Anolis sagrei: one gene and its partners. Each later gene encodes a partner of the first gene's protein in a complex. Links are inferred from orthologs where the notes say so. Each region holds a gene or a part of one and is shown in the gene's direction. Other genes may lie near its edges.

Region 1 (11,285 bases):
GGATGACCTAGGCTTAGCTGTTCTTGTTTTACTAACAATACAGAAGATGCAAATGGTTTGAAAATTGAAACATTAGTGGGGAGAACATTTCTGCAAAGATCCTGAAATGTCACAGTATGGCACGCCTTTAAACAAAGGGAAGAACCACAAAGATCAAGCACTTTCTCTCTTAGATCTCTGAGAAATCAATGTTGTTGCAGTTACTCTGTCCAGTGTTTGTTTTTGTATTATTTTCCGATGTTGTATGGCCTACATGTACCCGTCCTGGAAAACAAGACTTTGCTTAAACAAGTTTTATACTATGTTTCTATTTTTGAAACATATTTATACCTCAGCAATGAACTAGTGAATGAACCATTTCCTACTATATTTGTAATCTGTCTTTATATGTTATATATTGAACCATTAAAATTTCTTTTGAGTTGACTGAAGTGATTTTTTTCTTTATTGTTCACTGTATGAACTTATTCCAGTTGGTAGCTCAGCCCCAAAAACTAATTTTCCACCATGTGGAAGCCTATTTCATTGTTTGTTGCCTCTGTTTCTATATTCGGTAGGTACATGCAATCAGATAAATTCAATGTCAATCCTAGCTAGAGTAGACCCACTGAAATCAATGCAACTTTGACTGGTATTATCAAGTCATGTTCATTTTAATATAAGACAGGAGGAGAATTCAAATTGACCTTAACAGATTAGAGAGATAGACCAAAACCAACAATATGAAGCTCAACAGTGACAAATGCAAGATACTCCACTTAGGCAGAAAAAATTAAATGCAAAGATAAAGAATGGAGGATGCCTGTCTCAATAGCAGCATGTGTGAAAAAAGATCTTGGAGTCCTTGTGGACAAGTTAAACATGAGCGAACAATGTCATGCGGCAGCTTAAAAAGCCAATGGCATTTTGGCCTACATAAATAGGAGTATAGTGTCTAGATCCAGGGAAGTCATGCTGCCCCTCTATTCTTCCTTGGTCAGACCACACCTGGAATCACACTGTGTCCAATTCTGGACACCACAATTGAAGGGAGATGTAGCGAATGTGGCCAGAGAATGGCGACTAAAATGATTGAGCCCTATGAGGAGCAGCTTAAAGAGCTGGGGTATGTTAAGCCTGCAGAAGAGAAGGCTGAAAGGAGACATTATAGCCATGTGAGGGGAAGTCATAGGGAGGAGGGAGCAAACTTGTTTTCTGCTGCCCTGGAGACTAGGATGCAAAATAATGGCTTCAAACTACAGGAAAGGAGATTCCCCCGAACATGAGGAAAAACTTCCTGACATTGAGAGCTGTTCAGCAGTGGAACTCTCTGCCCTGGAGTGTGGTAGGGGCTCCTTCTTTGGAGGCTTTCAAACAGAGGCTGGATGGCCATCTGTTGGGGGTGCTTTGAATGTGATTTTCCTGCTTCTTGGCAGAGGGCTGGACTGGATGGTCCATGAGGTCTCTTCCAATTCTATGGTTCTATATCTACTCCAGTTGGAAACAAATCCCTGGAAAGCTAGGATGGAACAGGTATACTAGGGAAAAGATGCCATGTTGGTTGCTTCACAAACCACCTGTGATCTTTAAAGAAATCGGTTTGGTAAATAAAAGCCTAAACATCCTAAAGGCATTAGATGCCATCTGAGCTTAGAATCTGGGCAGGACTAGTCTTGGTTAGTACTTGGGTGGGAGGCCCCAAAGCATACCTGGTGTTATAGGCTACATTCAGAGGGAAGAACTGGCAGAAACACATTTCTCAACAGCACCAGCAACAACAAGGTGGCTATTATATGCTGCCACAAAGTAACAAAACAGTATCTTTGAGTTTTTTTTATAAAAAATGTATGTTGAAACTCAAGTAGTTGCTGAAGTTAAAAAGTGACAACTCATGGTAACTTTTCCTAAAGAGAGACGCAAACAAGGCAACACACAACTGAATTCTTGCATCATTATAAAGTAACTGTATAGCCTTGGAGAAAAACTTAGGGTGTATCTAAACCTGGCATGGACAAACTTCGGCCCTCTGGGTGTTTTGGTCTTCAACTCCCACAATCCCTAAAGTAATTTCACTTTCTCCTGGATGCTATCAAACTTCAATATTTACTGTGAACCCCAACATACACACATTGCAGGTGGTTCTATGTCTCATATCAATTCTAGCCTGGCAATTCCTTCCCACATGTCTTTGAGTCAACTCTTATGTTAACCAGGCCCTTCTTTAGAGTGAGAACATAGCTCCACCTGTGGGCACAATGGTAACATTACATGAACTGCACAAGATTACAATTACCTCTTATTTCCATGGCACTTTTGAATGGTCTAAGAGTTTCATGCATATAATCCAGGCATGGACAAACTTTCTAGCTTGGGGGCCACGTAGCAGGCCAGAGGGGAGTGGGTGGGCTGGGAGGTAGGAGATTCTCCCCAAGTCCCCTCCCTGCCCTTTCCCCCCTTCCTCTTCTCTTTCAGAAGCAGAAAGTGGAGAAAAGACAGGAAACATTTGGATCCCAGGAGGAAATGGTGGATGAGAGAGAAAAAGTATATCCATTAGATAAATGGTTCTCAATCTGTAGGTCCCCAGATGTTTTGGCCTTCAACTCCCAGAAACAGCTGATAAATTAGCTAGGATTTCTGGGAGTTGAAGTCCCAAACACCTGGGGACCCACAGATTGAGAACCACTGCATTAGACCCTGTATTGCAGTGGTTCTCAACCTGGGGTCCCCAGATGTTTTTGGCCTACACCTCCCAGAAATTCCAACCAGTTTACCAGCTGTTAGGATTTCTGGGAGTTGAAGGCCACAAACATCTGGGGACCCCAGGTTGAGAACCACTGCTGTATTGCTTTCTCTTGATATGTAATCCTAGAGCTGGAAGAGACCCCCAAGGGCCAGCGTGTCCAACCCTCTGCTATGGAGGAAGGCACACTCAAAGCACTCCTGATAGACAGCCTCTGTGGAAAAGCCTCCAGAGAAGGAGACTCCACCACACTTCAAGGACGCCTATGCCACACTCCAACAGTTTTTACTCTCAGGAAGTTCTTTCTAAACTTTTCAGTCGAATCTCTTTCCCTACCATTTGAAACCATTGCTCCCTTGTGCCCTGGTCTCTAGAGCCACAGAAAGAGCTTTCTCCATTGTGGCCCCCTGGCTTTGGAACTTGCTACCTAGTGAGATTAGGCAAGCCCCTATGCAAGCAGCTCTTCTGATGTGCCTTTGACGAATGAACACAAACCCCCCATTTCTGTCCCAATTACAGATTCATCCTCATGATGCACTTTTTCCCATCCTTATGGGAGGGGGAAAGAGGGGGTAAATAAAGAAGGGAAGTCTTACAAATGAACTTAAATTCAATTGACTACTATTGATATAATATTCAGAAGTTCTACTTTTGAAACTGGAAAGCACTTCGCTAGACATACGAACTAGTGTCGTACGGTCCAATTGTGACCTTATAAAGTGAATATTATTTCATGTTATTTATGCAATATTTTATATTAATTCCTGTATTTATTCAGTATTTTAATTTCAGCAATGCCAAATGATATATATTGGAAAATTAGCAATTTGGTGTGACTCTTAATTTATTGCTTGCTTGAATGGTTGTTAAAAATAAAATTTAATTTTCAGCAAAATAAAATAAAGAAGGGAAGGAAGGAAGGAGAGAAGGAAGGATAGGATGGTGAGAGAGAGGAGGGGCTGAGAACAGCCCAAGGGCCCTGGGTTTGCCCATCTATATAAATAAAAATGTAATGTTAGTTCGTGGGATTAACAGAACTCGAAAACCAGTGGGCCAATTGACACCAAATTTGGACAGCATACACCTAACATCCCAATGTATGTTCTTCACTCAAAGAAATTGATGTTGTCATTTGGGAGTTGTAGTTGCTGGGATTTATAGTACACCTACAATCAAAGAGCATTCTGAACTCCGCCAATTATGGAATTGAACCAAACATGGCATACAGGACTCCCATGACCAACAGAAAACACTAGAAGGGTTTGGTGGGTGTTGACCTTGAGTTTGGGAGTTATTTGTCGTGTCAGGACAACCAGTCAAATTATATTACATTTCTAACAGAACAAAGCAAACAAACAGACAAAATGCAAAATTTGTGAGTTTGGGAGTTGTAGTTCACCTACATCCAGAGAGCTCTGTGGATTCAAACAATGATGGATCTGGACCAAACTTGGCACAAATATTCCATATGCCCAAATATGAACACAGATGAAGTTTGGAGGAAATAGACCTTGACATTTGGGATTGGTAGTTACTGGGATTTTCAATTCATCTACAATCAGAGCATTCTGAGCCCCACCAACGACAGAATTGGGGCAAACTTCCCACACAGAACCCCCATGACCACAGAAAATACTTAAGGCCATCCAGTCCAACTCCCTTCACCAGGACAAGAAAATGTAATCAAAGCCCTCCTGACAAAGAGCCTTCCAGCCATGGATATAGATAGAATCATAGAATCATAGAATCAAAGAGTTGGAAAAGACCTCATGGGCCATCCAGTCCACCCCGCTGCCAAGAAGCAGGAATATTGCATTCAAATCACCCCTGACAGATGGCCATCCAGCCTGTTTAAAAGCTTCTAAAGCAGGAGCCTCCACCACACTCCGGGGCAGTGAGTTCCACTGCTGAACGGCTCTCACAGTCAGGAAGTTCTTCCTCGTGTTCAGATGGAATCTCCTCTCTTGTAGTTTGAAGCCATTGTTCTGCGTCCTAGTCTCCAAGGAAGCAGAAAACAAGCTTGCTCCCTCCTCCCTGTGGCTTCCTCTCACATATTTGTACATGGCTATCATATCTCCTCTCAGCCTTCTCTTCTTCAGGCTAAACATGCCCAGCTCCTTAAGCCGCTCCTCATAGGGCTTGTTCTCCAGACCCTTGATCATTTTAGTCGCCCTCCTCTGGACACATTCCAGCTTGTCTCTCTTCAATTGTGGTGCCCAGAATTGGACACAATATTCCAGGTGTGGTCTAACCAAAGCGGAATAGAGGGGTAGCATTACTTCCCTAGATCTAGACACTACGATAGATATATATGATTCATGCACAGAAAGATATAGTATCATAGATTTGAAAGGAACCCCTAAAGAGCATGCTGCATGTTTCAGGGTAGGCAAACCAGACAATCTTTACATCAACACTGACAAAGAAACAACAAGAAATACTGTTTACTCACAAGCATCAAGAAATTACATATATTAGAAACCAAGACTTTCTCATTTCTTTATTTTCCAGATTACCAGACTGGGCCACAGCAACACGTGGCAGGGGACAGCTAGGACCTGATATAACCTTTCATAGTCGATAATATGATGGATAACCCGGGTGGCCCAGTGGGTTAAAGCGCTGAGCTGCTGAGCTTGTTGATCAAAAGGTTGCAGGTTCGATTCCGGGGAGCGGCGTGAGCTTCCGCTGTCAGCCCTAGCTTCTGCCAACCTAGCAGTTCAAAAACATGCAAATGTGAGTAGATCAATAGGTACTGCTCTGGCGGGAAGGTAACGGTGCTCCATGCAGTCATGCCGGCCACATGACCTTGGAGGTGTCTACGGACAACGCTGGCTCTTCGTCTTAGAAATGGAGATGAGCACCACACCCCAGAGTCAGACATGACTGGACTTAATGTCAGGGGACTACCTTTACCTTTACCTTAATATGATGAAACAATGACTTTCCTATGGCCTTCTTGGCTCATATTAGAAACAACACCTTTACTTCAGTGGACACAAACTTGCTTCATGCACAAAACTATTTTGAGTATTTTATGATATTTTTAACATTGGCTGTGTGTCTGACAGCTAACTTCCCATTGCCAATAAGAAGATACAGCTGAACATGCCTTTAGCTCCTCCCACTTCCGCCTACAGCCTCCATCTTAAGCCTCTTCTTAAGTTCTGTGCGAGAGGCTTTCTGGCGCTAAAATAAAGTTCCAGGAAAAGTCAGGCGAAGCAAGGGCGGGCTCTTCTTTCTGCCTCCTCCAATCGGATTGAAAATATGGAAATCCAAGCACAGAAAGGGCGGGGTTCGGCAAATTTTAGCAAAGCCAATCGCGCATGGCTGAATTCTTTGTAACCAATGGGAGCAGTCGGCGTGCGACCGTCAGAAGGCGGGGCGAAGTGTTTTCCCGCGAAAATCTCTCTCCGCCTTCTCCTTTTTTGCTCGGCACTGAAGAAAGGTCTGCTTAAGTGGAAAATAGAAATTCCAAAGGAAAAGGAAAAGGTTGGTGCAGTAACTAGTCTTTGCTGGGAGTTAGACGAGGAATAGTCCTTTTTCCTTGTCTTTGTAACTAGTTTTTGACAACTATTCACTTCCTAATGAAGTTTCTAATTATCTAACCTAACTAATTACTGAAGTGCTATAGAGCCGGGCTAAAGATGGCTTCTTGAGCTGAGTTTCCAGCCTTGAGGATATTTCCCCTCATCCAGTGTTTACCAAACTTTGGTGCGCCACCAGTTTTGGACTTTAAACTCCTATAATTCCCAAACAGCTTAGACAAAGACAGGATTTATGGGAGATGAAGTCCAAAACATCAGGAAATCCAGTCTGGGAAACACTGTCCTGGGATCCATCGGCAGTAGAATAATGTAGTTTGACATCACTTTTAATTGCCATGGCTCAATGTTATGTCATTCTGGGAGTTGTAGTTTAGTATTTATTTCTTTTATTTATTTACTAGCTGTCCCCTGCCACGCGTTGCTGTGGCCCAGTCTGTGTATATGTGTTTTGTGTGTGCATATATGTGTATGTATTTGGTTTTTGCGTGCATAGTAATGCATTTTTATTTGTTTTGGCTTTTGAAGTCTCTTCTGCTGTATTTTTTAGTGTTTTTATGAGTGATGGTCACTCGTTGGCCTGAAAGGTGTGTTGTGTCCAAATTTGGTGTCAATTCGCCCAGTGGTTTTTGAGTTATGTTAATCCCACAAACGAACATTACATTTTTATTTCTATAGATTTGCCATACTTGTACCCCGCCCTGGTTTGTAGGAAATGATATGTTCTGACAGGTAGCTTGGGCCAGAACTGTTTAGGACTTTATAGGCCAAAGCCAGCACTTTGAATTGTGCTCGGTAGCAAACTGGGAGCCAGTGAAGGTGACACAACATGGGGTTGTGTGCTCCCTGAGTGCCGCTCGAGTGAGCAACCTGGCTGCTGCTCGCTAGACCAGTTGAAGCTTCCAAACACTCTTCAAAGGCAACACCACATAGAGTGTGTTGCAGTAATCTATACGGGATGTAAACAGAGCATGTACTCTTTGGAAGAGAAGGCTAGAGACCTAATAAAACTACAGCTCCCAAGATTCCAAAGTACTGAACGATGGCAGTTAAAGTAGTGTCAAACTGCATTAATTCTGCAGTGTAGATGCACTTTAAGAAAAACAAGCCTTCATTTAACTGGAGGGAAGGGGAAAGGACATCCTAAGTAAAAGAAGAGAAAATTGATTTATGCAGAGTTTGCATAGCACTAGCTTTCTACATGTTGAGATGCACTTTAAACATTTAGACTTTCTACTTCATCACACTAGAGAATGAATCCACTTTAAATCCAGTTTCTGCCTCCTTCATAATTATGGGCTTTGTAGTTTAGGGAGGAGCCTTTAACAGCCTCACTTAAACTACAAGCCCCAGAATTCTGCAGGAGGCAGAAACCGGATGTAAAGCATATTCATTGTGATGAGGTCCTTTGTCCTGGATGATGGTTATATATATTTCTGCATCCTTTCAGATCCTTTCTTTATCTCTGTTTTTCCCTGCAGAGTGAGACGCCATGTCTGGCTTTGATGATCCCGGCATTTTCTACAGCGACAGCTTTGGTGACACAGGGGGAGATGAGGGCCAGATCCGGAAGTCCCAGTTGCAGAAGCGTTTCAAAGAGTTCTTGAGACAGTATCGGGTTGGAACAGACCGCACTGGCTTCAATTTCAAATACAGGTGCCCTTTCCTCCCAAATAAAATCACTTTTCTTGCTACACTTCATAGTTGATTGGCCTTGATAGCAGTATGTTTGAAATAGATCTTGGAGTCCTCGTGGACAACAAGTTAAACACAAGCCAACAATGCCATGGAGCAGCTTAAAAAACCAATGGAATTTTGGCCTGCATAAATAGGCGCATAGCGTCTAGATCCTCGGAAGTCGGCTTACCCCTCTATTCTGCCTTGGTAAGATCACACCTGGAATACTGTGTCCAATTCTGGACACCACAATTAAAGGGAGATATTGACAAGCTGGCATGCGTCCAAAGGAGGGTGACTAAACGATCAAGGGTCTGGAGAACAAGCCGTATGAGGAGCGGCTTAAAGAGCTGGGCATGTTTAGCCTGCAGAAGTGAAGGCTGAGATGAGACATGATGAAGGCCATGTATAAATATGTGAGGAGAAGTCATAGGGGGGAGGGAGCAAGCCTGTTTTCTGCTGCCCTGGAGACTAGGATGGAGAACAATGGCTTTAAACCAGAGGAAAGTAGATTCCACCTGAACATGAGGAAGAACTTCCTAACTGTGAGAGCTCTCTGCCCCGGAGTGTGGTGGAGACTCCTTCTTTGGAGGCTTTTAAACAGAGGCTAGATGGCTGTCTGTCGGGGCTCCTTTGAATGTGATTTTCCTGCTTCTTGGCAGGGGGTTGGACTGGATGGCCTGCAAGGTCCCTTCCATCTCTATAATTATATAAATATAAATGTACTGCTAGTTGGGATTAAATATGGCTGTGTTAGTGTAATTTATCTTTCTTGGTAAAAGTGCTCTAACAAGTGTGTTCTTGACTGTAAGCTGCTTGTTTTCAGTCTCACATGCCCTCACTACTCCTGCTGTTCTCACTCTGTCTTAGAGATGAACTCAAACGGCATTACAATCTGGGCCAGTACTGGATTGAAGTGGAGATGGAAGACTTGGCAAGCTTTGATGAAGACCTAGCAGACTATCTGTACAAGCAGCCTGCAGAACACCTCCAGTTGGTATGTGTGGGATGGGATGAGAAATGCTGCCTGAAAGAGAGATATTGTGGTCAAAGTGCCATTCAAATGACACATTCAGGACCCAGTGCTGTTTTTGAGGCCCTTGATCTTCCATATTACTTAAACCGAATCCCTTCCTGAGCAATTCATTTATGAAGCTGTAGTAGCCTCTGCACTGTGTAATATCCATTTTTCAATACCAGCAATAGGTTGCTGCCTCATTTGGTTTTGTTTTCCTTTTATTTGGAGAACATGTGTGATAGTTCTTCTGGCTCCAGGAGAGTCCCAGGGAAAGAACATTGCCCACTAGCCATAGCTGCAGTTAGATCTGCTTCAATATTAGTGTTTGCATGTAGAGCCTTCAACCTGGTGTCCTGTATGCTCTTCCAAAATCTTGCTTTTCATTCTTCCAATCCCAGTCTAGTGTTCTATTTGTTTCTTTTAAACTATCGTTAATCACCTGTAACTGTTGAATCTTTGAGATATAGGGTTAGATGTATTTCATTTTGGTTTAAAAAAATATTACTAACCTAGTGGCAATTTTAGAGATTAACAAGCTAGATGTTAAGTCTTTTAAGATGCCATTACACCAGTAGTTCTTAGCATTTTCCCTTCAGATGTTTCAAACTTCAGTTCCCAGAGTGTTCTGCAAGTTGATCGTGTAAACAAAGGTTTCTGGGAATTATGATCAAGACCATCTGGAGAATGAAATGTTGAGCGCTACTTCACTGATGCTGTATTTGCCCAATGACAGATTAGCATAGTTCACACATGTGGAAAGTAAAAGGTTTTGATGTTTCCACATACTTCACGAGTGACTTGAACATGCCTCTAAACCAGAATTTCTCAAACTGTGTTCCTCCAGATGTTATGGACATAAGCTCCCACCATTCCTAACAGCTGGTAAACTAGCTGGGATTTCTGGGAGCTGAAGTGCAAAACACCTGGAGGAGCACAGTTTGAGAAACACTGCTTGAAACTCTTAATTTCTGATGGTTACTCAGCCACTGAAGTTTGTTATTAGATGAAATAATGATCACTGTCCTCCATTGTCCAAACTGCTGTCATTCTTTTTCCAGCTAGAAGAAGCAGCAAAGGAGGTAGCAGATGAAGTAACACGTCCTCGTCCGGTGGGAGAAGAGGATCTTCAAGAGGTTCAGGTTATGCTGAGATCTGATGCCAATCCATCCAACATCCGCAGCCTCAAGGTGAGCTTGGTTCTGCTTTGGGGGGAACTGTGGGTCCCAGCCACAAATGGGGTCTCCTTAGCTCAGTGTTGAGGTCCTGAAAAATTTGACAACAGTAAAAGCTTTAGATGTTAACATGACTCTGTTGTGTAGTGTTTACAGTAGACTCTACAGAAGATGTTCAGGTGTAATTAAAAAAAAGTACTATCAGCCTGTTTAGCAAGCCTTGTAAATGCTGATTTATTGTCAGTAAATTAATTAATTAATAAGACCATTAGCCCTGGCCTTGTCTTACTCAACTTGTGAGTATTCCTGCCCTGTTTAGCACAAGTCTGTCCACACAAAACAGGTGACTATAGTACTGAACTAAACATGTAGAATAATTGCAAGATGTCTCAAACCCACATCTTGCATTGCCCCCGATATGCAACAGAAAGTTGCTGCTAACTGTGAGAGAAATAAGGTTGAACACTATGAAAGCCATCCACTGCATGGCTATCAGCCTCCTCTCTGTAGACTCAAATCAAGGAAAAGCTTCATGAGAACCACCACTCCTCTTAACGTTCCCCCAGCAACAACAACAGTATCCCTCTGGGAAGCAAAATCAGGCAATTCCAACTGGATGGCCCCCCACAATAAATAAATCAGTAAATGTTTGATTCCCCCCCCCCCCCCCTATTTTGTATACCAAAATATCTGGAGTTATGTAAAAAATTCTCAGGCCAAAAGGGGTTGCGAGTGGAAAATTTTAAGGAGCCCTGGTCTACATTAAGACCCTCATAGTCATGTAACCTGTATCTCTGGGTTCACATACCCATGTCTAGGTGACAAATAGTCTCTTAAAGATTTCCCAGGTCCTCCAGGCAATTATATGGCATAATTTGCCTGAACGTTATCATAGAGTTCTAGCAGGACTTAGTAAATTCATAGAAAGGATAGTACTGGGCATGAAAATCTATCCTAAAACATCTTCATTTTGATTTCTTTTATGAACTGGAACCTTGTGCTTCCAGAACAGATTTTGATCAGTACTGAGGCAGAGAAGTGGGAATTTGTGAATCTTGCATTTGCTTTGAATGTTTTGTGTTTCAATGCGCATCCGCTTCCTTTATGGCCTCACCCTCGCTGTGGTTTCCTCCTGTTTGTTTTGCAGTCTGAGC
Region 2 (11,521 bases), on another chromosome or scaffold:
AATTGAGGAGTTTTAGAGAGGGTTGGGAATATCTTCTATGCTGTAAACTTTATTACTGTTGCAACTCAGGGTAGTTTTCACCTTGCTCCCAAACACCACCACACCAAAGCTGTAGATTTGGTGGGCATTGACCTTGAATTCATCTACATCCAGAGAGCACTGTGGACTCAAACATTGATGGATCTGGACCAAACTCTACATGAATACTCAATATGCCCAAATGTGAACACTGGTGGAGTTTGGGGGAAATAGAACCTTGACATTTGGGAATTGTAGTTGCTGGGATTTATAGTTCACCTACAATCAAAAGAACATTCTAAACCCCACCAACGATAGAATTGGGCCATTGTTTGATTCCATAGTGATCTCTGGATGTAGGGGAACTACAATTCCAAAAACAAAGAACACTGCCCACCAAACTCTTCCAGTATTTTCTGTTGGTCATGGGAGAACTGTGTGCCAAGTTTGGTTCAATTCCATCGTTGGTGGAGTTCAGAATGCTCTTTGATTGTAGGTGAAAAATCCCAGCAACTACAACTCCCAAATAACAAAATCAATTTTTTGAGTGAAGGACATACATTGGGTTGTTAGGTATCTTGTGTCCAAATTTGGTGTCAATCCGCCCAGTGCTTTTTGAGTTCTGTTAATCCCACAAACGAACATTACATATTTATTTATATAGATAGATAAGATATACACTAGGCCTGGGCGGTTTCGTTCATTAATTTTGTAATTCATTAAATATTCGTTATTTTTAGCAATTACAAAACGATTACAAAACATATTTTCAAACCCGGAAGTGTTTTTTAATATCGAAATGGCATCCTCCATCTTTTTTACGGGCTTCCGCCCATTTCAAAAATGACGTTTTTAGGGATGGAGGATGCTGGGTGTGCCGGGAGCCAATCCTGCGCTCCCAAGCACCGTGGCTGATTGTGATTGGGCGGGCTGCCCTTTAAAAGCGGCTCCGCGTGGCCGCATTGCTCATTGCTGGGGAAGGCGAGGAGACGGGAGGTTCGGGAGGGAGGCTTGGCTTGCATTCATTCATTGCTTGCATTCATTCATTCCCTGGGCTGGGAGCAGCGGGGAGGCTTTGCCGTTCGCTCCACAACAGGGCAAGCATTTTTAAATATTTCTGAAAAATATCTTTCTTTTATTCTTCAAAAAATTCAAAAAATATTCTAAAAAAAGAAAAGACCCTTGTGTGCCTGTGTGTGTGAGTTTGTCCCTGTCCTGTGGCTGTGTTCTCTCCACAACAAGCATTGTTAATTTTCCATTTTTAAATATTTCTGAAAAATATCTTTCTTTTATTCTTCAAAAAATTCAAAAAATATTCTAAAAAAAGAAAAGACCCTTGTGTGCCTGTGTGTGTGAGTTTGTCCCTGTCCTGTGGCTGTGTTCGCTCCACAACAAGCATTGTTAATTTTCCATTTTTAAATATTTCTGAAAAATATCTTTCTTTTATTCTTCAAAAAATTCAAAAAATATTCTAAAAAAAGAAAAGACCCTTGTGTGCCTGTGTGTGAGAGTTTGTCCCTGTCCTGTGGATGTGTTCGCTCCACAACAGGGCAAGCATTGTTAATTTTCCATTTTTAAATATTTCTGATAAATATTTCTTTTTCAACGAATCGATTCGTTGCCACCTTAACGAATCGACCCCCGTTTTCATAACGAAGTTTCAGAGGTGATTTGCGCATGCGTGGGGGGTCCGCCATCTTAACGAATCGATTCGTAAATATTAACGAAATTTCGTAAATACTGAACTTTTTTAAAGGAAAGTTTTGTAATTATTTTAAATATCGAAACGCAAAAAAACCCCAAATACAAATCGATTTTAGAAACAAATTTTTGCGTTGTTACCCAGGCCTAATATACACCAGTATTGTTGTTGCTGTTGTTCATTCGTTTAGTTGCTTCTGACTCTTTGTGACCTGATCGGCCATCACCACCCCCAGCTCCAAGGTCAATCCAGTCACTTCAAGGATGCCGTCCACCCGCCTTGCCCTTGGTCGGCCCCTCTTCCTTTTTCCTTCCATTTTCCCCAGCATCAGGGGGGACTCAGGGCGGCTAACACAGGCAACAATTCAATGCCAACAGTATCAATAACAACAATATAAACCAACAGTATAAAATCCTATTACATAACAATTAAAACAGTGATATTAATTAAAATTACATAATCAGATAGTACAAATGACATCATCACAAGTCACATAGCCGTTCTCAATTTTCATAACAATCCTATTGTCAGTTCAGTGCTGAAAGTGCTGCTGTGCCCACTAGCCAAAGGTCTGGCTCCAAAACCACGTCTTTAGTTTTTTCTTAAAAGTAAGGAGGGAGGACGCTGATCTAATCTTGCTGGGGAGCGAATTCCACAAGCGAGGAGTCACCACCGAGAACGCTTTGTCCCCACCAGACGCGTTTGAGATGCTGGTGGGACCGAGAGCAGGGCCTCCGCCAGGCATGTAGCTGGGGGGGGGGGGGGTTGGGGGGCTTCAGTCCCCCCCCCCCCGAAATTCTGATGGTGGTCCACGAGAAGGCCTTACTGGTGCATTATTTAAATTGTTATGTTTATTCATATCCTGATCTGATCACCATACTCAATATATCCCATATGCATGGGGGGTATTGGGGTAATGATACAAAAGGTTTGCTGGACCCTCTTTCACTCAGACTCAGCCCCCCCGAACCAAACTCAGCCCCCCCCCCCTCAAAACAAAATCCTGGCTACGGGCCTGGCCTCCCCAGTAGATCTTAAATTATGAGGCCTCTTATAATACTATTCTTCCCTCCAAGTATATTATTATATTATAGTATTATATTTTATTATTATTATTCCCTCCAATATATTATTATTGGAGCCCCCGGTGGCGCAGTGGGTTAAAGCACTGAGCTGCTGAGCTTGTTGATCGAAAGGTCGCAGGTTCGATTCCGAGGAGCGGCGTGAGCTTCCGCTGTCAGCCCTAGCTTCTGCCAACCTAGCAGTTCGAAAACATGCAAATGTGAGTAGATCAATTATTATTATTATTATTATTATTATTATTATTAACTTTATTTGTACCCCGCTAGCATCTCCCGAAGGACTCGATGCGGCTTACACGGGCCGAAGCCTCAAAACACAATACAATAGAAAACATAACACAACAATAAACAAAGCAAATCAAACAATTAAGCAAAGTAACCACAATGACAATACATCAATACATCAAGACACTATTAAAACTGGTTCGGCCGGCGCAATGGGGTACAGGGTTAAAAGTGCTGAGATGGCAGGAGGAACGTAGGATTAAAAGTGCGGTGTGCAGCAACATTGGTTGTGCTAAAGTGCTTCTAGGACTTGGGATGGGGATTCCTAATCTGAGAAGGCACATCGGAACAGCCAAGTTTTTAGGTTCCTTCTGAAAACTGCTAGAGTAGGGGCCTGACGAAGCTCTTTTGGAAGGGCATTCCAAAGTCGGGGGGCCGCCACAGAGAAAGCCCTGTCCCGTGTCCCCACCAAGCGCGCTTGCGACGTAGGTGGGATCACGAGCAGGGCCTCCCCAGATGACCGGAGCGAGCGTGTGGGTTCATAAATGGAGATGCGGTACCTAGATCAATAGATACCGCTCCGGCGGGAAGGTAACGGCGCTCCATGCAGTCATGCCGGCCACATGACCTTGGACAGCGCTGGCTCTTCGGCTTAGAAATGGAGATGAGCACCACACCCCAGAGTCAGACATGACTGGACTTAATGTCAGGGGACTACCTTTACCTTTACCTATATTATTATTATTATTAAGAAACTGCAACTCGCTTCTGGTGTGAGAGAATTGGCCGTCTGCAAGGACGTTACCCAAGGGATGTTACCTGGATGTTTGGATGGCGAGCAAGTGGGTGATTCCGTCCATTTTTTTTTGTTGTGTCATCATCATCATCATCATTTAATAACTTATTAATCGCCCTCCATCCGAGAATGCTATGGGCGATTTAGAGCTAAATTACAAAAGATAAAATACATACATACAAAAATTAAAAATCAACAGAGATCGAATGCTCTAGTGAAAAGCCAGGTGTCTGAAGTGCTAGAGTAAAAGGCCCTAAGTCACGCATGGCTCTCATGTAGGGCGGCAAGGAATGCCACAATAAGGCAGGAGGGGCAGAAAGAGAGAAAGCCCACCTGCGCCTGGTCCTTTCCAAGGGCACTTCTCTAGGACCCGGGATATGGAGTAAGTCACGTTGGGATGGTCGTTGCGACCTCCGATGATGGGAGAAGGAGAGGCGGTCCCTAAGGTACGATGGACCCTGGCCGTAAAGAGCTTTAAAGGTCAGAGCTAGCATCTTATATAGACCACGGTAATTGGTTGGAAGCCAATGCAAATGCCGCAACACTGGTGTGATATGGCATTATTTCATGGGCGTTCTTGTGAGTAGCCTGGCTGCCACATTCTGAACAATACGGAGCTTTCGGGTCGTAGACATCAGAAGGCCCACATACAGGGCGTTGCAATAGTCCAGCCTAAATGTGACCGTAGCATGGATGACCATTGCCAGAGCCTCGCCAGATAGGGAGGGTGCCAGTTGCCTCGCTTGTCGTAGATGGAAAAAGGCCTGTTTAGTGGCAGCAGCGACCTGAGCTTCCATTGTCAGCTGTGAATCCAGGATGACACCTAAGCTCTTAAGAGTGGTCGATGGAGAGAGGGCGGCACCATCGAAGGTGGGCAACGGAGGAGTCAGACCTGCCGGGCGGCCATGCCAGGGAATCTCAGTCTTCGCCGGGTTCACCTTCAGTCTGCTAGCACGTAGCCAGTTCGACAGAGCTTCCAGACATCGGGTGAAATTGTCTGGAATTGACGTTGCTCCAGACTCCAGGCGCAGAAGGAGTTGGGTATCGTCTGCATATTGGTAGCAGTCCAGGCCGAAACTCCCAGTCAAGGAGTGACTTGAGAAACTGCAAGTCGCTTCTGGTGTGAGAGAATTGGCCATCTGCAAGGACTTTACCCAAGGGATGTTACCTGGATGTTTGGATGGCCAGCAAGTAGGTAATTCCTTCCAATTTTTTTTGTCATGTCAGGAGTGACTTGAGAAACTGCAAGTCGCTTCTGTTGTGAGAGAATTGGCCGTCTGCAAGGACGTTGCCCAGGGGATGCCCGGATGAATTGATGTTTTTATCATCCTTGTGGGAGGCTTCTTTCATGTCCCCGTATGAGGAGCTGGAGCTGATAGAGGGAGCTCATCCGCCTCTCCCCGGATTCAAACCTGTGACCTGTTGGTCTTCAGTCCTGCCGGCACAGGGGTTTAACCCACTGTGCCACCAGGGGCTCCTTTCCTTTAAGTAAGGAGGGAGGATGCCAATCTAATCTCGCTGGGGAGCAAATTCCACAAGCAGAGGGTCACCACCGAGAAGGCCCTGTCCCTCGTCCCCACCAGATGCGTTTGAGACGCTGGTGGGACCGAGAGCAGGGCCTCCCCAGTAGATCTTAAATTATGAGGCCTCTTATAATAAGGAGGCTGTCCAGGTCCTGAACCGGTCCCTGGCCGCTGTGACGGTCTGGATGAGGGCGAACAAATTGAAATTGAATCCAGACAAGACAGAGGTACTCCTGGTCAGTCACAAGGCCGAACAGGGCATAGGGTTACAGCCTGTGTTGGATGGGGCCGCACTCCCCCTGAAGACGCAGGTTCCCAGCTTGGGTGTGACCCTGGACTCATCACTGAGCCTGGAACCCCAGGTTTCGGCGGTGACCAGGGGAGCATTTGCACAGCTAAAGCTTGTGCGCCAGCTGCGCCCATACCTTGGGAAGTCTGACTTGGCCACGGTAGTCCACGCTCTGGTTACATCCCGTTTAGACTACTGCAACGCTCTCTACGTGGGGTTGCCTTTGAAGACAGCTCGGAAGCTCCAACTAGTCCAACGCTCGGCAGCCATGATTTTAACAGGAGCGGAGTGCAGGGAGCATACAACCCCCCTGTTGCGCCAACTCCACTGGCTACCGATCTGCTACCGGGCTGAATTCAAAGTGCTGGCGTTGGCCTTGAAAGCCCCAAACGGTTCCGGCCCTAGCTACCTATCTGACCGCATCTCTGCCTATGAACCCACCAGGACTTTGAGATCTTCCGGGGAGACCCTGCTCTCGATCCCGCCTGCTTCTCAAGCTCGGCTGGCGGGGACGAGAGATAGGGCCTTCTCGGTGGTGGCTCCTCGGCTGTGGAACGCCCTTCCTACGGACATTAGACTAGCACCATCTCTAATGGTATTCCGCAAAAAGGTGAAGACCTGGATGTTTGTGCAGGCGTTTGAGTAATTTAGTGCAATCTGGTAATGGAACATAGGAATGGAACAATGGACGACGAATCTGGACTACGCTTGGATGAGGAGAAGATTGGGTACGGTTGTGTTTTGTAATAATTGTGCATTGTAATTGCTTATTGGTAATTTATGGATAATGTGTTAAGTCAATTGTTATATGTTGTATGGAACCACTGCTGTTTCTACTGTTTTTACTGTTTGTGAACCGCTGTGAGTCGCCTTCGGGCTTGAGATACAGCCGTATAGAAGCAAAGTAAGTAAGTAAGTAAATAAATAAATAATAATACTATTCTTCCCTCCAAGTATATTATTATTATTATATTATAGTATTATATTTTATTATTATTATTCTCTCCAGTATATTATTATTATTATTATTATTATTATTATTATTGAGAAACTGCAAGTCGCTTCTGGTGTGAGAGAATTGGCCGTCTGCAAGGACGTTACCCGGATGTTTGGATGGCCAGCAAGTGGGTGATTCCGGCCTTGACATATTTACATTGTCCGGCTCCTTTAAGAATGTGAAGGGGCGGGGCCGAGAGTCATGTTGGCGCGCAATATTCATAAGTAGGCGGGGCCAGTGCCGTTCTTTCTTTCCTCAGCGTCGCTGACGTCAGCACACCTAATTAGAATCCGTGGCGGGAAAGTGTTGGGCTTCCCTTTGGCGCCAACATGGCCGAGGCGGAGGAGGAAGCCGGGCTGGAGTCAGAGGGCGAGGAAGTGGTGCTCACCCCGGCCCAGCTCATCCAACACCTGGAGCAGGTGAGCCCAGGCGGCCCTTGGGGGAACTACAACTCCCAGGACACTTCCCCTTCAATTATGGCAGGCCCAGGACCCCCCTCCTCCAACCCAATCACCTCCCCAAATGTGGCCACTTTATTTGACTGTCTACCATGAGCTTCCTCATCAGTGGGACATGCTGTTTGGGAATACTACAACTCCCAGAATCCCCTCTCCCATCAGCATTTTTTTGAAACACACTGCAACTCCCACAATTCCCCATCCAACTCCCAGAATCCCTCCCATAACTTATTTAGATGGAGTAGAACTCTGTTTGGGAATACTACAACTCCCAGAATCCCCCCCATCAGCAATTTTTTTTGCCATAGATGTAGGAGAAACGTCAGGAGAGAATGCCTCTAGATCATGGGCATATAGCCCGAAAAAACCTACAACAACCCTATATTATGATTGTTGTTATTATTATTTTTGTTTGAATGGAATGCAATTCCCAAAAGCAACCCCTACCCCCAACAGCATGGCTGGTTATTTAGGCACACTACAACTCCCAGAATCCTTCCCACCGGTGTCTCTCATCATCTGGGCCATCTCCAAGGTTTTGCTGTCTCTTTCCAGGCTTGGATGAATGAGAAGTTTTCCCCTGAGCTGCTGGAGAGCAAGTCGGAAATCGTGGAGTGCGTCATTGAGCAGCTGGAGCACATGGTGAGAGAGATGACAAGGTTCATAAAAACACACAGGTGTAAATGGCCAGCTACGTTGCACCATATTATTATCATTATTATTATTATTATTATTATTATTATTATTATTATTACTAGCTGTATCCTGGCCATGTGTTGCTGTGGCCTAGTCTGGTGGAGCAGCTGTTGCAATCTATCCAGGCATATAGGCTTCCTCTTTCGTAAGAACATCTTTCCTGTGTTATTATTATTTACTAAATATAATTATATTTATTCATATATATATATTCATCTCTTAAGTGAGACTATTTCCTATGCAAGTGTGGAGCTGCGGTCCCAATCTATCTGGACAAATAGCCTTCCTTTTTTGTAGCAACGTCCTTCCTGTATTATTATTATTATTATAATTATTATTATTATTTACTAAATGCAATTATATTTCCTTGTATTTATATTCCTCTCTTAAGTGATATTTTTCTCCCATGCAAGTGTGGAGCTGCTGTCCCAATCTATCCGGGCAAATAGCCTTCCTCTTTTGTAGCAACATCCTTCCTGTATTATTATTATTATTATTATTATTATTATTATTTACTCAATTTAATTATATTTCCTTGTATTTATAGGCCTCTCTTAAGTGAGATTTCCTCCTATGCAAGTGTGGAACTGCTGTCCCAATTTATCCAGCAAATAGCCTTCCTCTTCTGTAGGAACGTCCTTCCTGTATTATTATTATTATTATTATTATTATTATTTACTAAATGTAATTCTATTTCCTTGTATTATATTCCTCTCTTAAGTGAGGTTTTCTCCTATGCAAGTGTGGAGCTGCTGTCCCAATCTATCCAGGCAAATAGGGTTCCTCTTTTGTAGCAACGTCCTTCCTGTATTATTATTATTATTATTATTATTATTATTATTATTTACTATATTTAATTATATTTCCTTGTATTTATATTCCTCTCTTAAGTGAGCGTTCTTCCTATGCAAGTGTGGAGCTGCTGTCCCAATCTATCCAGGCAAATAGGGTTCCTCTTTTGTAGCAACGTCCTTCCTGTATTATTATTATTATTATTATTATTATTATTATTATTTACTATATTTAATTATATTTCCTTGTATTTATATTCCTCTCTTAAGTGAGCGTTCTTCCTATGCAAGTGTGGAGCTGCTGTCCCAATCTATCCAGGCAAATAGGGTTCCTCTTTTGTAGCAACGTCCTTCCTGTATTATTATTATTATTATTATTATTATTATTATTATTATTATTTACTATATTTAATTATATTTCCTTGTATTTATATTCCTCTCTTAAGTGAGCGTTCTTCCTATGCAAGTGTGGAGCTGCTGTCCCAATCTATCCAGGCAAATAGCCTTCCTTTTCTGTAGGAACGTCCTTCCTGTATCATTATTATTATTATTATTAGTGGTATTATTTACTCAATTTGATTATATTTCCTTGTATTTATATTCCTCTCCTCAGTGAGATTTTCTCCTATGCAAGTGTGGAGATGCTCTTGCAATCTATCCAGGCAAATAGGCTTCCTCTTTTGTTGCAATGTCCTTTCTGTATTATTATTACTATTATTTACTAAATTTAATTATATTTCCTTGTATTTTTATTCCTCTCTTAAGTGAGATTTTCTCCTATGCAAGTGTGAAGCTGCTGTCCCAATCTCTCCGGGCAAATAGGCTTCCTCTTTTGTAAGAACATCCTTCCTATATTGTTATTATTATTGTTATTATTATTATTATTATTATTATTATTTACTAAACTTAATTATATTTCCTTGTATTTACATTAATCTCTTAAGTGAGATTTCCTCCTATGCAAGTGTGGAGTTGCTGTCCCAATCTATCTGGGCAAATAGCCTTTTTCTTTTGTAGCAATGTCCTTCCTATATTATTATTGTTATTATTATTATTATTTACTAAATTTTTCTTGTATTTATATTCCTCTCTTAAGTGAGATTTTCTCCTATGCAAGTGTGAGATGCTGTCCCAATCTATCCGGGCAAATAGGCTTCCTCTTTTGTAGGAACGTCCTTCCTGTATTATTATTATTATTATTATTATTATTATTTACTAAATGTAATTCTATTTCCTTGTATTATATTCCTCTCTTACGTGAGGTTTTCTCCTATGCAAGTGTGGAGCTGCTATCCCAATCTATCCAGGCAAATAGGGTTCCTCTTTTGTAGCAACGTCCTTGCTGTATTATTATTATTATTATTATTATTATTATTATTATTATTATTATACTCAATTTGATTATATTTCCTTGTATTTATATTCCTCTCTTAAGTGAGATTTCCTCCTATGCAAGTGTGAAGCTGCTGTCCCAATCTATCCTGGCAAATAGGGTTCCTCTTTTGTAGCAATGTCCTTCCTGTATTATTGTTATTGTTATTGTTATTATTGTTATTATTTACTCAATTTGATTATATTTCCTTGTATTTATATTCCTCTCCTCAGTGAGATTTCTCCTATGCAAGTGTGGAGCTGCTCTTGCAATCTCTCCGGGCAAATAGTTCTTCCTCCCGGGTCAGGATGTCCTTCCTGCCTTTGCAAAACCCCTTTGCTGTGTGTCTTTGCAGGAGGAGAACCTGAAGCGCACCAAAGGAGGGGACCTGAAGGCCAGCATCCACCGCATGGAAGTGGAGAGGATCCGCTACGTCCTCAGCAGCTATCTGCGCAGTCGGATCCGAAAGGTCTTTCCGTCATGTATTTCCTTCGTTGCCGTCCTTTGTCTCTAGGCCATCTTTCTGCCCTCATATGGATGCCTTTGTGGTTCTGTATCATATCTATATCAGTGTTGTTGGGCAAGTGGGCTTATTAGCAAAAGACCCTCCTCATAAATGCGGAGCAGAGTGATCTGTCGTATCAGAGTCACCTCTGACTTTAAACACCACACGAGCTGGGAAAAATCAGCAAGCAGTTTATTGAGAATATAAAAATCGAAAACATGCAAATGTGAGTAGATCAATAGGTACCCCTCCAGTGGAAAGGTAACTGCGCTCCATGCAGTCATGCCAGCCACATGACCTTGGAGGAGTCTATGGACAATGCCGGCTCTTCGGCTTAGAAATGGCGACGAGCACCAGAGTTATTATAGAACCCTAAACTGGAAGAGACCCCAAAGGCCATCCAGGGGCTACCCTCTGCTATGTGGGAACACACAATCAAAGCACTCCTGAGAGATAGCCATCATCCTCTGCTTAAAATTCCACCATCCCATTGTTTAGTGAACGGTCACTTTGGAAATGTGGATACTCCTAACGTCTGTGTTGATGCACCCAGTGCTCTTCGCTCTTCTTCCCCCTTCACCCGATGATGCCTCGCCCTTCTTCTCCTCTTTATTTTCTCTTTAGATTGAGAAATATTTCCCGCACGTCCTGGAAAAAGAGAAGACCCGGACGGAGGGAGAGCCTTCCATCCTCTCTCCAGAAGAGTTTGCTTTCGCCAAAGAGTGAGTGAATGGAGACTCGTTCGTTTTGATCAGCGTTTCTCAACCTGTGCTTCAAGACCCCTGGGGTCCTCCGCTCTGATTGGCCAGCCTCTCAGCCAAGAGGGGGGGGGGGCTGTTTCTGAGAATCCAAGCCGGGGGGGGGGGTGAGCAATCATGCTCGGCGCATGGTAGCGTGGTACACATGTGTGGGCGAGGGAGAGCAGGCGAGGTTGGAGGGAGGCTCACATCAGCTGGGGCATTCTGTGTGGGAAATTTGGTCCAATTCTATCATCGGTGGGGTTCAGAATAGTTTGATTGTAGGTGAACTATAAATCCCAGCAACTACAACTCCCAAATGTCAAGGTT
Region 3 (10,527 bases), on another chromosome or scaffold:
ATCAATGGTGGAAAGAGGTGTTCAGGAATCAATTCCACCTGATATCAGAAGAAATGGGATTTTAAAATTATATTAATACTAGCTTGGGGACCCGGCGCTGCCCGGGTTATTTGAGAAAGAAATTGTGTATCAAGGTTGGTCTTTATCAGTTATTTATATGGCTCGCAGTGGTCTCAGGAAGTTAGTGAAGGTACTGCAAGTCCCATCATCTGTGGTCCATCCTCCTCCAAATTGCACCAGAATGGAGAGTGGGTCGTGGGGGCTCTGTGTGCCAAGTTTGGTCTTGATCAGTCATTGGATGAGGGTCACAGCAGTCTCAGAAGTGAGTTAAGGTACTGCAAGTCCCATTATCCATAGTCTTCCTCAAACATCACCAGAATGTTGAGTTGGCCATGGGGGCTCTCTGTGCCAAGTTTGGTCTTTATTGGTATTTGGATGAATGTCACTGTGGCTTCAGGAGGTGAGTGAAGGTACTGCAAGTCCCATCATCCATAGTCTGTTCTCCCCCAAACCTCACCAGAATGTTGAGTTGGCCATGGGGGTTCTGTGTGCCAAGTTTGGTCTTCATCAGTCATTGGATGAGGGTCTCAGTAGTTTCACTAAGTGAGTGAAGGAACTGCAAGTCCCATCGGCCATGGTGCATCATCCTCCAAACCGCACCAGGATGTAGAGTGCATGATGGAGACCCGGTGTGCCAAGTTTGGTCCTTACCGGAAATTGGATGATGGTTGCAGTGGTCTCAGGAATTGAGCAAAGATACTGCAAGTCCCATAATCCATGCTCGATCCACAGTCAAACCACACCATGGCGTAAAGTGGGTCATGAGAGGTCTATGTGCCAAGTTTGATGTTGTTCAGTCATTGTTGAGGGTCGCAGCAGTCTCGGAAAGCGAGTAGAGGTACTTCAAGTCCCATCATCCATGGTATGCCCTACTTCAAATCGCAGTAGGATGTAGAGTGGGTCATGGGGGCTCTGTGTGCCAAGTTTGGTTTTGTTCGGACATTAGATGAGGGTTGCAGCAGTCTTGGGAAGAGAGTGGAGGTACTTGAAGTCCTATCATCCATGGTCTGTCCTCCTCGAAAGTACACCAGTATGTAGAGTGAGTCATGGGGACTCTCTGTGCCAAGTTTGGTCTTGATCAGTCATTGGCAAGGGTCTCAGTGGTCTCAGGAAGTGAGTGAAGTGATTGCAAGTCCCATCATCCATTGTCAAATTCTTCCAAACCGCACCAGGATGTAGAGTGGGTTATGCGGGCTCTCTGTGTAAATTGTGGTCCTGATCCATCATTGTTGGCAGTTGTAATGGTCTTAGGAAGGGAGTGTAGGTATTGCAAGTCCCATCGTCCATGGTGCATCCTCCTCCAAGCCGCACCAGGATGTAGAGTGGGTCATGGAGACTCAGTATGCCAAGTTTGGTCTTTATTGGTAATTGGATGAGGGTTGCAGTGGTCTCAAGAATTGAGCAAAGGTACTGCAAGTCCCATAATCCATGGTCCATCCCCCGCCAAACCACACCAGGACGTAAAGTGGGTCATGAGAGGTCTATGTGCCAAGTTTGGTCCTGATCAGTCATTGGATGAGGTTAACAGCGGTATCCGAATGTGAGTGATGGTACTGCAAGTCCCATCATCCATGGTTCATCCTCCTCCAAACTGCAGTAGGATGTCGAGTGGGTCATGGGGGCTTTGTATGCCAAGTCTGGTCTGTATTGGTAGTGTTCTGACCCAGCCCCCTTTGGCCTTTCCTGTCCTCTCTTTGTCATCTCGGAATCTTGGAATTGAGGCTGGCCAATCAGAGACCATATGCAAATTTCCTTCTCATGTCCCCGTTTCTGTCATGAACTCTTTTCTCCACCAGGGGCTCCTCTTGAAGCTGGCCAATCAGAGACCATATGCAAATAGCACCACAGCGGCAGCCAATCAGAACGCTGGCACATACTCCTCCCGCCACACTTTTGGCGCTGCCCGGGTTATTAGAGAAAGTGGGTAATGGCGGTTCTGTATGCCAAGTTTGGTCTTTATTGGTCATTGGATGACGGTTGCATTGTTTTCAGGAAGTGAGTGAAGGTACTTGAAGTCCCATCATCCATGGTCCACCCTCCTCCAAACAGCAGCAGGATATAGAGTGGGTCATGGGGGCTCTGTGTGCCAACTTTGGTCTTTATCAGTCATTGGGTGAGGGTGGCAGTGGTTTCAGTAAGTGAGTGAAGGTACTGCAAGTCCCATCATCCAAAGTCCATCCTCCTTCAAACTGCTGCAGGATGCAGAGTGGGTCATGGGGGCTCTGTGTGCTAAGTTTGGTCTTTATCGGTCATTGGATTAGGGTCGCAGTGGTTTCAGTAAGTGAGTAAAGGTACTGCAAGTCCCATCATCCATGGTATGCCCTACTCCAAACCGCAGTAGGATGTAGAGTGGGTCATGGGGGCTCTGTGTGCCAAGTTTGGTTTTGTTCGGACATTAGATGAGGGTTGCAGCAGTCTTGGGAAGGGAGTGGAGGTACTTCAAGTCCCATCATCCATGGTCTGTCCTCCTCAAACATGCACCAGGATGTAGAGTGGGTCATGGGGACTCTGTGTGCCAAGTTTGGTCTTGATCCGTCATTGGCAAGGGTCTCAGTGGTCTCAGGAAGTGAGTGAAGTGACTTCAAGTCCCATCATCCATTTCCATATTTTTCCAAACTGCACCAGGATGTACAGTGGGTCATGTGGGCTCTCTGTGCGAATTGTGATCCTGATCCATCACTGTTGGCAGTTGTAATGGTCTCAGGAAGGGAGTGCAGGTATTGCAAGTCCCATCGTCCATGGTGCATCCTCCCCCAAACCGCACCAGGATGTAGAGTGTGTCATGGAGACTCAGTGTGCAAAGTTTGGTCTTTATCGGTAATTGCATGAGGGTTGCAGTGGTCTCAAGAATTGAGCAAAGGTACTGCAAGTCCCATAATCCAAGGTCTATCCCCGACCAAACCACACCAGGATGTAAAGTGGGGCATGAGAGGTCTATGTGCCAAGTTTGGTCCTGATCAGTCATTGGATGAGGTTAACAGCGGTCTCAGAATGTGAGTGATGGTACCCCAAGTCCCATCATCCAAGGTTCATCCTCCTCCAAACTGCAGTAGGATGTAGAGTGGGTCATGGGGGCTCTGTGTGCCAATTTCGGTCTGTATTGGGAGTGTTCTGACCCAGCCCCCTTTGGCCTTTCCTTTCCTCTCTTTGTCATCTCAGAATGTTGGGTTTGAGGCTGGCCAATCAGAGACCATATGCAAATTTCCTTCTCATGTCCCCGTTTCTTCCATGAACTCTTTTCTCCACCAGGGGCTCCTCTTGAAGCTGGCCAATCAGAGACCATATGCAAATAGCACCACAGCGGCAGCCAATCAGAACGCTGGCACATACTCCTCCCGCCACACTTTTGTCCTCCGCATACAAGTTTTGACTTTTATTATATACATAGATTTAAATATTTTTATTTAAATTTAAATATTTTATTAAGAATATTTAAAAGGGGGGAAAAGATGACTGAGGGACTATTCACATTGCAGCATTATAGCATTTTGACAGCACTTTAAGTACCATAGCTATACGGGTTACATCCTGTATAGACTACTGCAATGCTCTCTACGTGGGTTGTCTCTGAAGACTGCCTGGAAGCTACAACTAGTACAACGAGCGGCAGCCAGATTACTAACAGGAGCGGGGTACAGGGAGCATACTACTCCTCTGTTGCGCCAGCTCCACTGGCTGCCAATCAGCTTCCGAGCACAATTCAAAGTGCTGGTGTTGACCTATAAATCCCTAAACGGCTCTGGACCTATTTACCTGTCCGAACGGATTCTCCCCTATGAACCATCAAGGTTGTCAAGATCTTCTGGAGGGGCCCTGCTCTCAGTTCCACTACCTTCGCAATCGCGTTTGGTGGGGACGAGGGACAGGGCCTTTTCGGTGGTGGCCCCTTGGCTTTGGAACTCCCTCCCGATGGAGATTAGGCCCGACGGCGAGAAGAAGGCCTACGTTCGTCTGGCTCCGGATTACGACGTCGTAATCCGGAGCCAGACGAACGTAGGCCTTCTTCTCGCCGTCGGGCCTGATCTCCATCGGGAGGGAGTTCCAAAGGGCCTCTTCCCTCCTGACGTTTAGAAAGCAGGTAAAAACATGGCTTCGGGATACTGCATTCGCAGAATGATGACTGAGTCAATAACTGCTGACCTTTCTGGCGGATGGCGATGAATTTGTGATTCTTTTGGACAAACTGATTTTTGCTGTAATTTGTATGAATTGTATGAAGTGTATTTTAATGTATTTTATATTGGTGACCTATAGTGTTTTTCTTACTGTATTGAATTTTATGTTGTTAGCCGGCCTGAGCCCCTCCCCGAAGGTGAGAAGACCGGGGTATGAAAACTCTAAATAAATAAATAAATAAATAAATAGCTTCAGCCTATGGACTTCTGGGATTTGCAGTTTGTTGTGGCACCAGATTGAACACAGAAGGATAAATCTCCAGCAAAACTAAAAAATCCAAGAATTCTTTAGCTCTGAGCCATGGCAATTAATGTGGCATCAAACTGCAGTGTATGGAAAAGGTGCATCATTATACACTGTAGAATTGATGCAGTTTGACACCGCTTTAACTGCCATGGCTCAGGTTTGTAGAATCCTGGGAGTTGTCGCTTTACAAGGCCGTTAGACTTCTCTGCCAAAGAGGATTGGTGCCTCAACAAACTACAAATCCCATAGAATCATAGAATCAAAGAGTTGGAAGAGACCTCATGGGCCATCCAGTCCAACCCCCTGCCAAGAAGCAGGAATATTGCATTCAAATCACCCGTGACAGATGGCCATCCAGCCTCTGTATAAAAGCTTCCAAAGAAGGAGCCTCCACCACACTCCGGGGCAGAGAGTTCCACTGCTGAACGGCTCTCACAGTCAGGAAGGTCTTCCTCATGTTCAGATGGAATCTCCTCTCTTGTAGTTTGAAGCCATTGTTCCATTGCGTCCTAGTCTCCAGGGAAGCAGAAAACAAGCTTGCTCCCTCCTCCCTGTGGCTTCCTCTCACATATTTATACATGGCCATCATATCCCCTCTCAGCCTTCTCTTCTTCAGGCTAAACATGCCCAGCTCCTTAAGCCGCTCCTCATAGGGCTTGTTCTCCAGACCCTTTGTCATTTTAGTGATTGCATTGGAGTTATAAAAGTGGTGTCAAGCTGCATCCTGCAATGCAGGTGGCATGCCAAGAGTTGCAGGAGCATAAGGAATTTAAAAGCGCGATACACGCTCGTTTGTCCCTTCTCCTCTCCCGTACGAGAGGATGTTTGTCCCCGCCTCTTCTCAACTTTCTTGCGTTGCTATTGGCTGAGCGGCTTCGAGGCGCGGGTTTCACTTAGTTCTCCTCTGGCGGTCGACGGGTGAGGGCCTCTGGCGCTGAGAGGCTTCTTTTGGGCCCGGTTTTGGGAGAAAACCATGTTCTGCGAGAAAGCCACCGAGCTCATCCGGGAGCTCCACCGCGCCAGCGACGGGCAGCTGCCTTCCTACAACGTGAGCCTGTTTAAAATTTGGTTCTGCCCTCCCAAGTGTTTTGGACTTCAACTCCCAGAATTCCTGCTCATTGGCCAAGGCAGCGGAGTCTTCTGGGAGTTGGAGTCCAAAACACACTTGTGGCTCTGCTGCTTGGGAATAGATTCCTATCATTATCTAAAGCCGCAAGAGAATATAACCATGGCTATTTCTAAAGGTAGACAATATGGAAGTAGGGCCACATATAGTCTTAGTGTATTTTGAAGTATCATAGAACAGAAGCTTGAGAAAGGGAAGTTTCATAAATTTAGGATGCATGTATACTAGGCCTGGGCAAACTTGGGCCCTCCCAAGTGTTTTGGACTTCAACTCCCAGAATTCCTAACAGCCTTTTAAACACCTTTAAAGTGATGTCACTGTGCATTGTAGAACAACAACAACAATAATAATATTTATACCCTGCCATCATCTCACCCAACAGCTTACATGGGGCCAAGTCCGAACGACAAATTACAATACAAAAAATACAAAATTACAGTAAAATAAACAACAAAACAACATTAAAGTAAACAACATCAAAGCATATAAACAATATACATAGAACATAAAAACCAAACATAAAGACAAAGAGATCTCCTGTACATAAAAAGAGGCCTCCTGTACATAAAATGATTTGAAAACTCCTGGTGAGATAAAGGGGTAAAACTAATTGTATGGAGAACTCATAGAGAGACGGGATAATAAACCTACATAACAAGAATGCTGAGGGAGTAATAGCATGAAGTTTTGTGAACTACTCTCCAAAGGTGCAACGGCAGAGCCAGGTCTTGAGACTCTTTTTAAAGGTTTCTAAAGAAGGAGCTTTCCTAATCTCTCCGGGCAATGAGTTCCAGAGTCGGAGGGCCACAGAGGAGAAGGCTGTCTCCCTTGTACCCACAAAGCGAGTCTGAGAGACTGGCAAGGGTGAGAAGAGGGCCTTGCCTGAAGATTGAAGAGTTCGGGCACCACTTTAGCTACCATGGTTCAATAATAATAATAATAATAATAATAATAATAATAATAATAAGCTTTATTTATATCTCACCCCATCTCCCCAAGGGGACTTGGAGTGGCTTACAAAAATGTGACCAATGCAAACAATAAACAGTAATATAACAAGTAACCAATTTGCCAGGAGTCTACCAGATACCATGCAGCTGTGCAGGAGTCTACCGTATATTGTGCAGCTGTAGACAAGTCTACATAGGGACCACCAAATGCATCAGCATTGCCCAAACACGCATCAAGGAACATGAAAGGCACTGCAGACTACTTCAACCATAGAAGTCAGTCATAGCAGAGCACTTGATGAACCAACCTGGACACAGCATATTATTTGAGAACACAGAAATGCTGGACCACTCTCACAACCACCATGTCAGACTACACAGAGAAGCCACTGAAATCCACAAGCATGTGGGCAATTTCAACAGAAAGGAAGAAACCATGAAAATGAACAAAATCTGGCTACCAGTACTAAAAAACTCTAAAATTATAACATTAAAAAAACCCCTCAAACACAGGGAAACTCCAGCCTGGAAACAATCAGAACACCTGGTCACTTCTCGACAAGGAAATTTCCCAGTGACACCTAAAAACTGTCAGGCCATCAAATGCTGATCAAGGTGGCCAATCAAAACATTCACACCTAGCTCCAACAGACAAGAGTTCTTTCTCTCACCCTGGACCTTCCACAGATGTATAAACCCAATTTTCCAGTTTCCTGCAAACGTCACAACCTCTGAGGATGTATGCCCCATATGCAGGCGAAATGTCAGGAGAGAATGCTTTTAGAACATGGCCATACAACCCAAAAAACCTACAACAATGCAGTGATTCCGGCCATGAAAGCCTTCGACAATACATTAAACAAATTTAAAATTCAGTCTACAAAATAACAACACAAAATCGATGTTAAAGTGAAACAAAAGTGAAAAAAGAGGACAAAGATGTGACAATAAACTTATTAACAGTAGCAAGACTGCTTATAGCATGGAATTGGAAAAGGGAAAGATAAGGTATAAGTGTAAGTATAAGAAGGTATGGAAATTGTCAATAAATGACAATCTGGCGTGTAAATTAAAAGTTAAAAGAGGGATTTGGAAACAAAGTGATTTTGGTTATGTATGAAGAGCATTTATTGAAAAAGGATTCAAAAGAAAGACAAAGGGGGAAATGAAATTTTGGATGGAAGCTGTGGCTTGGGGGGAGGGGAACATGGTGGTGAGAGATGAAAAATATGTATAAACGTAAAAATAACAGTAGATGCCAAAGAGTTAATGTAGTGTAAATTGTTCTGAATATAATGTGTCTTCTGTAAAACGAATGATGTATAAACACTGTATTGAAATATGATAAAATAAATAAAAACATCTATTAAAAAGCGAAACAAAACATTAAATTGACACAAAACTATCATCCACAAATAAAAAATTACGTTATATAAAAACAGTTTAAAACATCCACTGCTCTGGTTGATAAAAACAATCAATGCTATGGAATGATGAGATTTGTAGTTTGGTAAGGCACCAACACTTTTTTTTTTTTTTGGAAAAGAAAGCTAAAGACCTTATGAAACTACAACTCTCATGATTCCATTGCATTGAGCCATGGCAGTTGAAAGCAATAATAGTAATAATACTTTATTTTTAACCATCCTTCTCTCCCCAAGGGGACTCAGGGCAGCCTCCAAAGTAAAAATGGCAAACATGCAATGGCAGTACAAAACATAATAGACAATTAAAAGTAAATCAGTGAAAAAATATAATATAAAAATAGGATCAGACTGTGTGAATTCTACAATATAAATATATCCTACATTTATGGAACTTTTATTTCCCGGGCCTCTGTTCTATGATACTTCAAAAGACACTAAGAATATACGTGGCCTTACTTCCATGTACAGGCAGTTCCTGAGTTACAAACAAATGAATTACAAACAACTTCTAGTTAAGAACGGGGCTGAGACAACACAGAGTGAGAGGAAATCTACCCCTTGGAAAGGAAATCCACTCCTGAAAGATTTATCAAGGAGTAAAGGTGTCTCTGCTGAAGCTTTATCCACAACAAGCCTTCCCCCCCCTCCCCCCCCAAAATCCAATGATCACAGAGACAGAAAGTTAGGTGAAATCTTCTGAATAGAGGCACAGATAGCACTGGAATTTTTTTCAAGGAGTGGCGATTTTAATGAGTATGGAGGACAATGTGTATTCAGGTATAAACTTAGCCTATGGCCTCCTTTTCACAGTGAATAGATATTTGAAAGGAAATGAAGCTTGAATTTTAATTAATTGAAGTCTTTGTAAGCACTATATACTATTTGAAATACTTGTTGAAGCTGGTGCTGTTTTAAATTTCAGGAGGATGGAATTAGACAAGTTCTTGAGGAGATGAAAGCATTATATGAACAGAACCAAAGTGATGTGTAAGTTCTTTCAGTAAAACAAATAATACATCTAAATAATAAATATTGTAGCTCTTCATGCAGTCAGTTGTTCCACAAGCCCTCAAGGTCTTCTGTTTTGGTTTGATGTGTGAGGAACTAATCAACCATAGTCCAATGAGTGAAATCAAAGCCTGTGTGTCAGTTGCACATCCGTGGGGCCCTACAGTGGTGCGTATTTATACTATCCTACAAGTGTATAGGATCTTGCCCTGACAGCTCACTGCGTAGCTAAAACTTTAAGAATAGCTAATGCTGAAGAATAGGAAAGATTTTATTTGGGAAAAACAACATTTGTTCCATTAAGATAAAAACTGAAAAGAAAATAGCATATAGTCTTCACATATTTAATTTTAAAAGAATGTAATATAGAATGTTTTCATACAACATTCATAACATAGGTTTGCGGCAAGCTTTCCGGGCTGTATGGCCATGTTCCAGAAGTATTATCTCCTGGTGAAACGTCAGAAGCATTCCAGATGTTTCACCAGGAGAGAATGCTTTAGGAACATAGAATCATAGAATCAAAGAGTTTGAAGGGACCTCATGGGCCATCCAGTCCAACCCCTTGCCAAGAAGCAGGAATATTGCATTCAAATCACCCCGGCAGATGGCCATCCAGCCTCTGTTTAAAAGCTTCCAAAGAAAGAGCCTGTACCACGCTCCGGGGCAGAGAGTTCCACTGCTGAACGGCTCTCACAGTCAGGAAGTTCTTCCTCATGTTCAGATGGAATCTCCTCTCTTGTAGTTTGAAGCCATTGTTCCACGTCCTAGTCTCCAAGGAAGCAGAAAACAAGCTTGCTCCCTCTTCCCTGTGACTTCCTCTCACATATTTATACATGGCCATACAGCTCGGAAAACTCACAGCAACCCAGTGATTTTGGCCATGAAAGCCTTCGACAACACAATAATAACATAAATTGCATGTGTCCAAGTACTTGCCAGTAACTCCATTGCTTTCACACCTTAAATTTTTCCCCAATTAAGTGTGATTTCGGTACAAATTATGGGACTTTCAGAAACATTTTAGAAATCATTTCAAATGAAATGCTAGCTAGTCTGACTGTGAAAGTTTAATCCTGACTGAAAATTAAATGAGGCAGAAATTCACATGTTGCTTATAGAAAATTCACAGGTGCAAAAGCTTTTACTTAGTTTAATGGCTGTTCTTTTCCCCTTTAGACTGACATGTTTTGTTTGAGGAAGGATAGAGTTAGTTTATGACTTCACAAATGGTTGGTTGCAGATATATACAAATGCATTTTACTTCCCAAGGGTGTAATATAGCTTATGCTTATGTCATTAGAAATGAAGCTAAATCCGGACACAACGAGTTGATCCCAACAATCAAATTTCGCCATTGCTCTCTGCTGAGAAATCGACGATGTGTTCTTGCCTATCTGTAAGTTTCTGAAGGTCATCTGTGACATCACTCTGTCACAAATGATGTCACATTCACTTCTGAGACTTAATTTTGAAAGACCTTTTTCTCAGTCGCTGGAATTGCATGGAAGTTGTGGTTGTTTGCTTCTCACAC

The links.
Region 2: MCM5 (region 1) and GINS4 share a complex: the UniProt entries of both Homo sapiens proteins name them as parts of the CMG helicase complex. The link is inferred for Anolis sagrei from reciprocal best matches to the Homo sapiens genes MCM5 and GINS4.
Region 3: MCM5 (region 1) and GINS1 share a complex: the UniProt entries of both Homo sapiens proteins name them as parts of the CMG helicase complex. The link is inferred for Anolis sagrei from reciprocal best matches to the Homo sapiens genes MCM5 and GINS1.

What each region holds. Positions count from the first base shown.
Region 1 is NC_090025.1:167,316,753-167,328,037, reverse strand, and holds the start of MCM5 (DNA replication licensing factor MCM5), read left to right. Parts: upstream 1-6,102; 5' UTR 6,103-6,211; intron 6,212-7,745; 5' UTR 7,746-7,756; coding exon 7,757-7,920; intron 7,921-8,811; coding exon 8,812-8,938; intron 8,939-10,017; coding exon 10,018-10,146; intron 10,147-11,278; coding exon 11,279-11,285. UniProt on the Homo sapiens protein: Acts as a component of the MCM2-7 complex (MCM complex) which is the replicative helicase essential for 'once per cell cycle' DNA replication initiation and elongation in eukaryotic cells.
Region 2 is NC_090027.1:4,068,543-4,080,063, forward strand, and holds the start of GINS4 (DNA replication complex GINS protein SLD5), read left to right. Parts: upstream 1-6,914; 5' UTR 6,915-6,961; coding exon 6,962-7,051; intron 7,052-7,645; coding exon 7,646-7,732; intron 7,733-10,304; coding exon 10,305-10,418; intron 10,419-11,078; coding exon 11,079-11,176; intron 11,177-11,521. UniProt on the Homo sapiens protein: Required for correct functioning of the GINS complex, a complex that plays an essential role in the initiation of DNA replication, and progression of DNA replication forks.
Region 3 is NC_090021.1:21,810,097-21,820,623, forward strand, and holds the start of GINS1 (DNA replication complex GINS protein PSF1), read left to right. Parts: upstream 1-5,360; 5' UTR 5,361-5,455; coding exon 5,456-5,530; intron 5,531-8,907; coding exon 8,908-8,972; intron 8,973-10,296; coding exon 10,297-10,392; intron 10,393-10,527. UniProt on the Homo sapiens protein: Required for correct functioning of the GINS complex, a complex that plays an essential role in the initiation of DNA replication, and progression of DNA replication forks.